Linked DNA regions of Nothobranchius furzeri. The protein of the gene in region 2 interacts with the protein of the main gene of each other region in a pairwise test. Links are inferred from orthologs where the notes say so. Each region holds a gene or a part of one and is shown on either strand. Other genes may lie near its edges. The genes, in order: isg20l2 and eml1.

Evidence for each region.
Region 1: the proteins of eml1 (region 2) and isg20l2 interact in binary tests that used the Homo sapiens proteins (3 or more experiments, as listed by UniProt). The two-hybrid records come from large-scale screens. The link is inferred for Nothobranchius furzeri from reciprocal best matches to the Homo sapiens genes EML1 and ISG20L2.

What each region holds. Positions count from the first base shown.
Region 1 is NC_091745.1:67,407,159-67,411,639, reverse strand, and holds the start of isg20l2 (interferon-stimulated 20 kDa exonuclease-like 2), read left to right. Parts: upstream 1-1,513; 5' UTR 1,514-1,598; intron 1,599-2,714; 5' UTR 2,715-2,844; coding exon 2,845-3,516; intron 3,517-3,651; coding exon 3,652-3,852; intron 3,853-4,481. Other genes in the region: mettl25b (methyltransferase-like protein 25B), read right to left, coding at 1-40, 175-237, 341-557, 708-826, 971-1,102. UniProt on the Homo sapiens protein: 3'-> 5'-exoribonuclease involved in ribosome biogenesis in the processing of the 12S pre-rRNA. Displays a strong specificity for a 3'-end containing a free hydroxyl group.
Region 2 is NC_091758.1:30,955,863-30,959,569, forward strand, and holds the end of eml1 (echinoderm microtubule-associated protein-like 1), read left to right. Parts: intron 1-556; coding exon 557-682; intron 683-754; coding exon 755-886; intron 887-1,003; coding exon 1,004-1,071; intron 1,072-1,157; coding exon 1,158-1,246; intron 1,247-1,363; coding exon 1,364-1,461; intron 1,462-1,547; coding exon 1,548-1,635; intron 1,636-2,079; coding exon 2,080-2,175; intron 2,176-2,248; coding exon 2,249-2,379; intron 2,380-2,464; coding exon 2,465-2,590; 3' UTR 2,591-2,900; downstream 2,901-3,707. UniProt on the Homo sapiens protein: Modulates the assembly and organization of the microtubule cytoskeleton, and probably plays a role in regulating the orientation of the mitotic spindle and the orientation of the plane of cell division.

The DNA.
Region 1 (4,481 bases), on a different chromosome or scaffold from region 2:
ACAGTCTGAGCCCAAAGGACAGGAAACGTGTTAGGTGACCCTGTGTAGAAATAAACATTAGACATGATGCTAAGTTCATTTTGAGAAGATTTACACATTTGGCTCATGACACACAATGTAGAAATATAAGATACAGAATGATTAAAATGCTACTAATAGAGGATAAAGTAATACCTGCCCAGAGCCCACATCCACCACCCTCCTACAGCCAGTCTGTTCACAAAGTTGTTTAACCAGCTGTGGAACAAAACAACAACTCAAAACACTCAATAAAACAACAACTAAACATTTTATAACCACTTCATAGAGAAATAACTACAGCCAACAAGGATTCCTGTACCATGCCAAGTTTTCGGATCTCATGCTGTTTCTTGGGTTTAACGTGTTTTCTGAATATGTGTCCCAGCAGGGAGCTCTGGCTGTGGTTTTCCAGGAACTCATCAGGCTTCTTCGGCTCAGCTACGCTGCCTCGATCACACCTGGGTTCTCTGGGAAACGTCAGGGCATGAGCGGTGGCACGGAAAGCCAAAAGAGACAGGGGCCACACCGAAGGATACCTGCAATCACAAAGTCTCTGGAGTCATCTCAATACATCAATTGTATTAATAATCAATGACAGTTAATACATGTTGTCCTAAAGCTCCAATGTAATTATAAATTAAGTTAATTTGAAGGTGATTTTGAAGCTGATTATATTCCCGCATTACCTTCTATTATTATTAGCAGCATCCAGTAATAAGTCTGCTATTTGTGGAAATGAAAGGTCCTGCAGCACAGCCTGCCAGGTTTTGGGTAGCGTGTCCCACAAATTTTCAGAGAAGAACTCCTGAAAAACGAGTAAGAAACAGTTCTTTATTCTAAAGCTCCATTTCCTTTGTAGATCATTTGTGTGCACTGTGCATGGTTTTGTCATCTTATCTTTATATCCTGATATTTCAGATTATAAAGATATGCAGGAGTTTATACGTACAATGATAAAGGAGTCGCTCAGGTGGCTGTACTGAGACAGAAAAGTAATGAGTCTGTTCGCCAGCTCTTTTTGTTGCTCCGAAGAAAAACTCGATGTAAACACTTCCACATTTTCTAACTGCTCTTTTGACATGGGACTTGTTCACAGCTAATGCTACCATGCGTTAGCTTATAAAGGCGTCGTTCCTGCTCCAGTTAAAATTATAACTATATAAATACAACTACAGTGTTACCAATTGGTTAAATACCGCAGAAAATGTTTTAACGTGAAGGAAAGGCTAGCAGCACGCTAACAAGAACCCCTGAGGCTAACTTTCAACCGCTTTCAACTGCAGACTGAATGCGTTCACTTGTTCCTCGTAATTTGTTGTTTCAATTTTATTTTTACATATAATCAGTGATCAACCAACAGCTAAATAAATAAAATGCACATACGTTTGGACTTTTTGATGATTTTAATATTTTGCTTCGAAATAAAGGTTAAAAATGTAAAAACAAAGAGGAAATCTAGCCCCACGTTTAACAATAATTTGACGTAAAATCTAGCGTCCCGACGCTATGGATAGTCCCTGAAGGCAGCATATCCCGGATATGGTTCGTTATTGTGAACTGTTCGAGACGTGCAGCAGGTCTTGTTTTGAGTTTTTCTTTGTTATTTCTGTAGCTTTCCTCATAAATAATTTGTTAGTGACTCACGAGAGTGTTAATTCAGACCGAGCCCTATTTTCCGTTCGGTTACCTTCATTTGCAGTTGTAACGATCGCCAGTCTTGGCTTAGCTAGCTAACATTAGCTTTGGTAAACATTAGTTCCGTTGAGTTAACAGTGGTCAAGAGTTAAGCTACTGCACAGTAACAATATTGTCATGCTTACGATAATAAGCGCTTTATAATACTTAACTAGGAAAACAGCAACCAAAGCTCCAAATATACAACGGCAAGGTAAACATAACGTCTCCTGCCGGTGTTCCACCGTTATACGTTGTCCCGTCGGGAATTGCTTCCCCACCCGTCTATACGCTCTATTTCAGTAATCAAGGCGTGCTCAAACGTACGGGTTTTGGTTTAGAAGAATAACACTCTCAGAATAAGTACCTCATTGATAAACAAGTCATTTGTACGTGTACTTGACACGTTTTGCAACATTTTTACCGGTTGAACAGTAGAAACCGTCCATGATTGCGATGACCTGTCATTGTTTCAGGAGCTAAAAAATCGATAAAACTGGCATTACTGATTCAAGTTGTCAAATAAAATGCCTAACGGAGTTTGCAACAAAAGCAAAACTGAAGGAGAAACAAGTTACTTGAAGCTGTGTCAGTGCTAAAAAAAATCAGGGTGAAAGACCAGCTTTAATAGTCTGATCTAGAGCTCAGTAAATATGCTAAATTTGAGCAGACAGCGTTTATGTTGTGGTACATACTTAAAAATTACCTTAGGTTAAAAGCAGTGGGCCACCGTCATGCGTATTTTATGGTTTCTCTGCTTCAGCACACCCGTTTTCAGTTAGCGGCTGATTAACAAGCCTCTGAACAGGTGGCACAAGAGGCACTTAATGGCCAGGATTTGACACCATTGACCTGAAGAATGAGTGCAAAAGGGCAGAGTGATTAGAAACTGAAATCAATTTAAAAAAACCGGGAAAATCTGAGCAAAACCATGGTGGTGAAAATATATAATGGCTACAATATGGTTTTTCAATAACCGGTTTTGTTTTATTTATTCATTTATTTATTTGTTTTTGCAGGGTGTTGCATTTGACCTGGCTTCATCTGATAGCAACCAGAATACAAAGAGAAGGGACCTGTTGAGGCTGTCTGAATAAGAATATCTTTGTGCACAGTCGTAAAAAGGAAAACGTTAGATTTGATGTTAACATGTCAGATCTCACGATCCACATTAGCTCATCGAATGACACCTCACAAAGAGGTCCTCCAGCAGAAAAGGGGAAGAGGAAAAAGAAGCCATTCCATAAAAAAAAGCAGTACTTACAGGCAAAGGGATACCTGAAAGGTAAACAAAATCACAACCACTTTAGGAAAGACTGGGGATACAACCAAACTCACCACCAGAATGGAGCAGGCCCAAATAATCCACAACTTCCCACACTCGCACAAATTAATAGTTTACCACCTAATTGTGCCACCACTGTAAGTGCCTCGAAGTCTTCAGCATCCTCTCACAATCTCCCGTCAATGAGCTTCACTGTGAAAAACGATGGTAGCTATGTAAAGCCAAAGAACTCTATGAATGCAAACAGAGCTGCAGCGGTCCCTGGGCCTTCAGCATCAGGCAGCCACAAAGCCACAACAGCATCAGTGGGGAACCCCACAAAATACCTCGCCATTGACTGTGAGATGGTGGGAACGGGACCCAAAGGCAGCATCAGCCAGCTCGCACGCTGCAGCATTGTGTCGTACGATGGAGACGTGATCTATGATAAGTTCATCAAACCTTCCATGCCTGTCACTGATTATCGCACCAGATGGAGCGGGATTCGACCAAGAGACCTCGAGAAGGCCATGCCTTATGCAGAAGCCAGGAAGGAGGTGGGGAAACAAATCATTAACAGAAAAAGTTTATTTTTTTCCCAACATGTCAACATAAAAACTATCTGATTAATTTTTTTTGTTGCCACTTGAGCTGGACTCCAGTGAACAAGAAACAAAATTTGATCTCCACAGATTCTGAGGCTGCTCATGGGGAAGATCGTTATTGGCCACGCCATCCATAATGACTTCAAGGCCCTCAGTTATACCCACCCCTCTGCCATGACGAGGGACACATCCCGAATCTCGCTCCTTAATCTGAAGGCAGGTTTTGGTGAAAGAGAATGTGCATCGCTGAAGAGACTCACCAAAGCCATCTTCAATCGGGACATCCAGGTATGCAAATTTAGTTGCTATGCTAATCAGAGAATAAAACACAGGTGGAGACCTCAGGAAGACATCAGGCGGACTTCAGGGTCTGAGACAATCAGTTGTGGTTCAGAGACAATATTCTGCAGAATTTGGTAACGAGGCACAGTTTTCACTCAGTCTGCTATTAAGACATTTTTACCTACGGTTCTGATCATTGCAATGCTGGCCAAGTCACTCATCTCAACACGCCTGGACAATACAAAAATGAGCAAAGAGGTGTAGAGCAGAATTTTGAGGATCTCAGTCCGCCATTGCTCGCAGCTACAAGCTAATGGAGGTTTACGGGTGCTTTTAGCCAGAAAAATGCAGTTGAGCGACTAATGTGAAGCATGCATCAACTCACCGAGTTGTTGGATGCTGTAAACTAGACTTATCAAACCTAAATTATTTTTTTGAACCAGGCTGTAAACATGTTTATTTCTGCCATGAAGTTGATATTTTTAATATGAGAAGCAATAAGAATTAGCTTTATTTTGGAGCCAGCACCTAGTGGATGAGAGGGGAACTGCAGTTTTTGTCACTTCCTGGTTAACCTCACTTTCAGGCCCAATCCCAATACTTGCACTACGCCCTATGGTCCTCTGTGAAGTGCA
Region 2 (3,707 bases):
AACTTTAATTGTTGCAGAGCAAATGGAGGCTGTGGAAGAGTTGCATTGCTCTTAGCCAATCAGAAGCAAGATGTGTGCACATCATGAAAACCAATGAGTAAGAATCCTAATCCTGCCCAACACTCTTCCGACTAACTTCTACCTCCTGAAACAGACTCACAGGACATTAATTCAGAGACCAGAACAGGTTTGTTAAAGAAACAAGCATTCGCCCTCATTATCTTTGTGTCCCATCAAAGACACAGCTTGACTTTCCTTATCTGGACTAAAGAAACATCATCGGGGGGTAATGACAATGTTTCTATTAAGAAATAAATCAGATTAGAAAGAAAGAAAATGTTATGTTATGTTTAATGAGCTGCAGACAGCAAACCAGTGATGCATTATTGAATAAATCTCACTGAGGCTGAGATAAATTTGGTTTATTTTAATGAGCTCCATGGATTTTTATGGCAACAATGCTTATGTTTTCTTAATAACTTGCTTCGTGGAAGCCAGATGATGCCGTCAAAGTCTCCCAGGTGAACAGCCGGATGTCTGATGTTTGCATCTGCAGGTGCCTGAGCTGTTTGGTCCAATCAGAACCATCGCAGAAGGCCGAGGGGAGACGGTGCTCATCGGGACCACCAAGAACTTTGTTTTACAAGGCAGTTTGGATGGAGAGTTCATGCCGATTACACAGGTGGATGCAACAGCCTAAAGGTCACAGCTTTGTTTTCCCTGTTTTCTTGTTTTTTAAAATTCTCCTCTCCAGGGTCACGTCGATGAGCTGTGGGGTCTGGCTGTGCATCCCTTGAAGTCTCAGTTTCTGACCTGTGGATACGACCGGCAGGTCTGTCTGTGGGACTCGAACACCCATCAGCTCATCTGGACTAAAAGTCTGGAAGTAAGTTGAGCCAACACCGCCCTCTGGGGTCTCTTATGGGGAATTACAGCTGATGGACCGGACTCTGGATGGGTTAGGGTGCAATTTGCCAAAGGAATATGCAAATCTGTTTTACAGGATACGGCCCAGTCAGCTGGTTTCCACCCATCAGGAGCTGTGGTTGCCGTGGGAACCCAAACTGGCCGGTACAAGAACCATTCAGCTGCTTAATCTGGACTGTTAGTATTTGTGTTAGCATGGAGCTGATAAAAGTCTGTCCCCAACTGTGCAGGTGGCTGGTCCTGGACACGGACTCTAAGGATTTAGTTACCGTCCACACAGATGGGAACGAACAGCTGTCCGTTATGAGCTACGGGCCAGGCATGTTGCACTTCTTCTGTTTGCCATCATCTAAAGCGTGTCTTCTGACACCTCTTATCTAAATCAGGAGTGGCAACGACTAAGCCATGCTGTCCTGTTGCTCCTCATCTTCTTTAGATGGTAGCTTCCTGGCTATTGGTTCCCATGACAACTACATCTATGTCTACGCTGTGGCAGAAAATGGGAGGAAGTACAGTCGAGTTGGAAAGTGTTCTGTGAGCCCCATCTTTTATTTTTATTATCATACCGTTTTAAAAAGGGATGTGAATAAATCCTCTAAACCTGTTGTTTTTATAATCAGGGGCACTCCAGTTTTATTACCCATGTGGACTGGTCCGTGGACTCTCAGTACCTGGTGTCCAACTCAGGGGACTATGAGATACTGTACTGTAAGTACAACCGCTAATCTGGGTCCGTTCACTGTGCTGATCACAGATTAAATCGTTAATAAGTAGCAGCAGGAACCAGGGTTGGTGGTGATTTTTCTTGTGAAACTGAAAGCTGAAAACCCAACATTATAAATATTATAATATTGACTGAAAATAAATATCTATAAAATAAAAACATATTACAAAAACAATAAAAATCAGCATAAATTTCATATTTTCTCCTGATTAAATCTGTTAGATTATCAAGTTAGGATTTAAAGTTGCATTAAAGTCTGGTTGACAGCTTCTGTCTCTAACAGCTCAGTTCTTGTTTGTATTTTTTATTTTAAATCTTAATCTATTATATTTTTAAATGTTTATTTTCATCATTGTTTTTATTTTGTAATTATTTCTATTGTGTTTGAAAGGCCCTAAATAAAAACGTCTTCTTCTTCTCACCTCCAGGGATCCCATCAGTGTGTAAGCAGGTAGTGAGCGTGGAGACCACCAGAGACATCGACTGGGCCACCTACACCTGCACTCTGGGCTTCCATGTCTTTGGTGAGTGACGCTTCAGTTCCTGTCCCTCTTTTGTGATCCTGTGCAAACTTCTGATGATTCTGTTTCTTCTCAGGCCTGTGGCCCGACGGCTCAGACGGAACCGACGTTAACGCAGCGTGCCGGTCCAGTGACAGGAACCTCCTGGCTACTGGAGACGACTTTGGGAAGGTCCATCTCTTCTCCTATCCCTGCGCACAGTTCAGGGTAAGAGGCCACTCATGCAAGAAGAAGAAAAAAGTTTAAATTGCAGGTTATTTATTTAAAGATCTGATTTACGTTTCCGCTCCAGGCTCCCAGCCATGTTTACAGTGGCCACAGCAGTCATGTGACCAACGTGAGCTTCCTGTTTGATGACAGCTTCCTGGTGTCGACCGGTGGGAAGGACATGAGCGTCATGCAGTGGAGGGTAGTCTGAGGGAGCGGACGCTGACACTGAAGCCCAGCAGAAGCAAAACTGTTCTGAACTGCACTAAAAAAAACCAAACTGATGTGAACTCTAACAGAAACGGATCGGAATAACTGAAGCGGTCTGAGGTTCTGCTCACAAACTAGATGAAAAGCAGGAAGTGTAAGAAGCAGCAGCTCGAAACACAACGATCCTCCTTTTGTTCATCTTACTTGTTCACACTACATGTATAGAAAAATCCTCTTCCTCTCATGTTTTATCCTCGTCATCAGCGACACAGAAGGAGTCCAACTCAACAGAACCAAAGGCAAGCCCTAACCCTCAGATCCTGGATCCAGACTGACGGAGAACCAAGAACGCTGCAACAAAAACTGAAGCACGGCACATTTTCTAACCTTTAAACTTCCTTTTAATTTTATAATGAACAACTCAGGAAAGCAGCGGTCAAGCAAAATCCCCTCCCTCTTATAAAACATGTCAGAAAAAAACACCCAAATATTCAGAAGCATCGATCACAGCTAGAATTAGACACGTTTAATAATCTATTATCACTTATTTGTTTAGGTGATCTTAACTAAAACTGCCTGTATTGTCCATAAATAGTTAAATTAATAAAGGTGTGTAATCCGGTTTTTTTTTTGTTCTTTTCTTACACAGTTTAGTAAAAGTTATTTGTTTACCTTACATGTTTGATGCCACCATCATCGACAATCTCTGATGATGGCTAGAGCTACTAGAAGAAACATGTAAGGTAAATAACTTTCACTAAACTGTGTAAGAAAAGAACAAAAATATGGAGTACGGCCAAAAACACGGGACGAACGCACAAAAGAGTATTAAAGGTGTGGTTTACCCATTCATTCAACACATTTGCAGTGTTCTCTAGTATAAACCAATCCCTTATAAGTAATTTAAAATAAAAAAGCTGTGATGCTCCTGTTCTGAGATGCAGAAGTTTGCTGGTGCTGAGGTGGGACAGGATGGCTCATTATTAATGATGTGAACGCTTCTGATTGGCTAACAGAACACGAACGTGTTCGAACGTGTTCTGTTAGCCATGTTGCAAAGTCACCATCACCCAGACACTCTCCGCTCTCTCTCCTGTGTGAGGATTTTCCAATCCTAG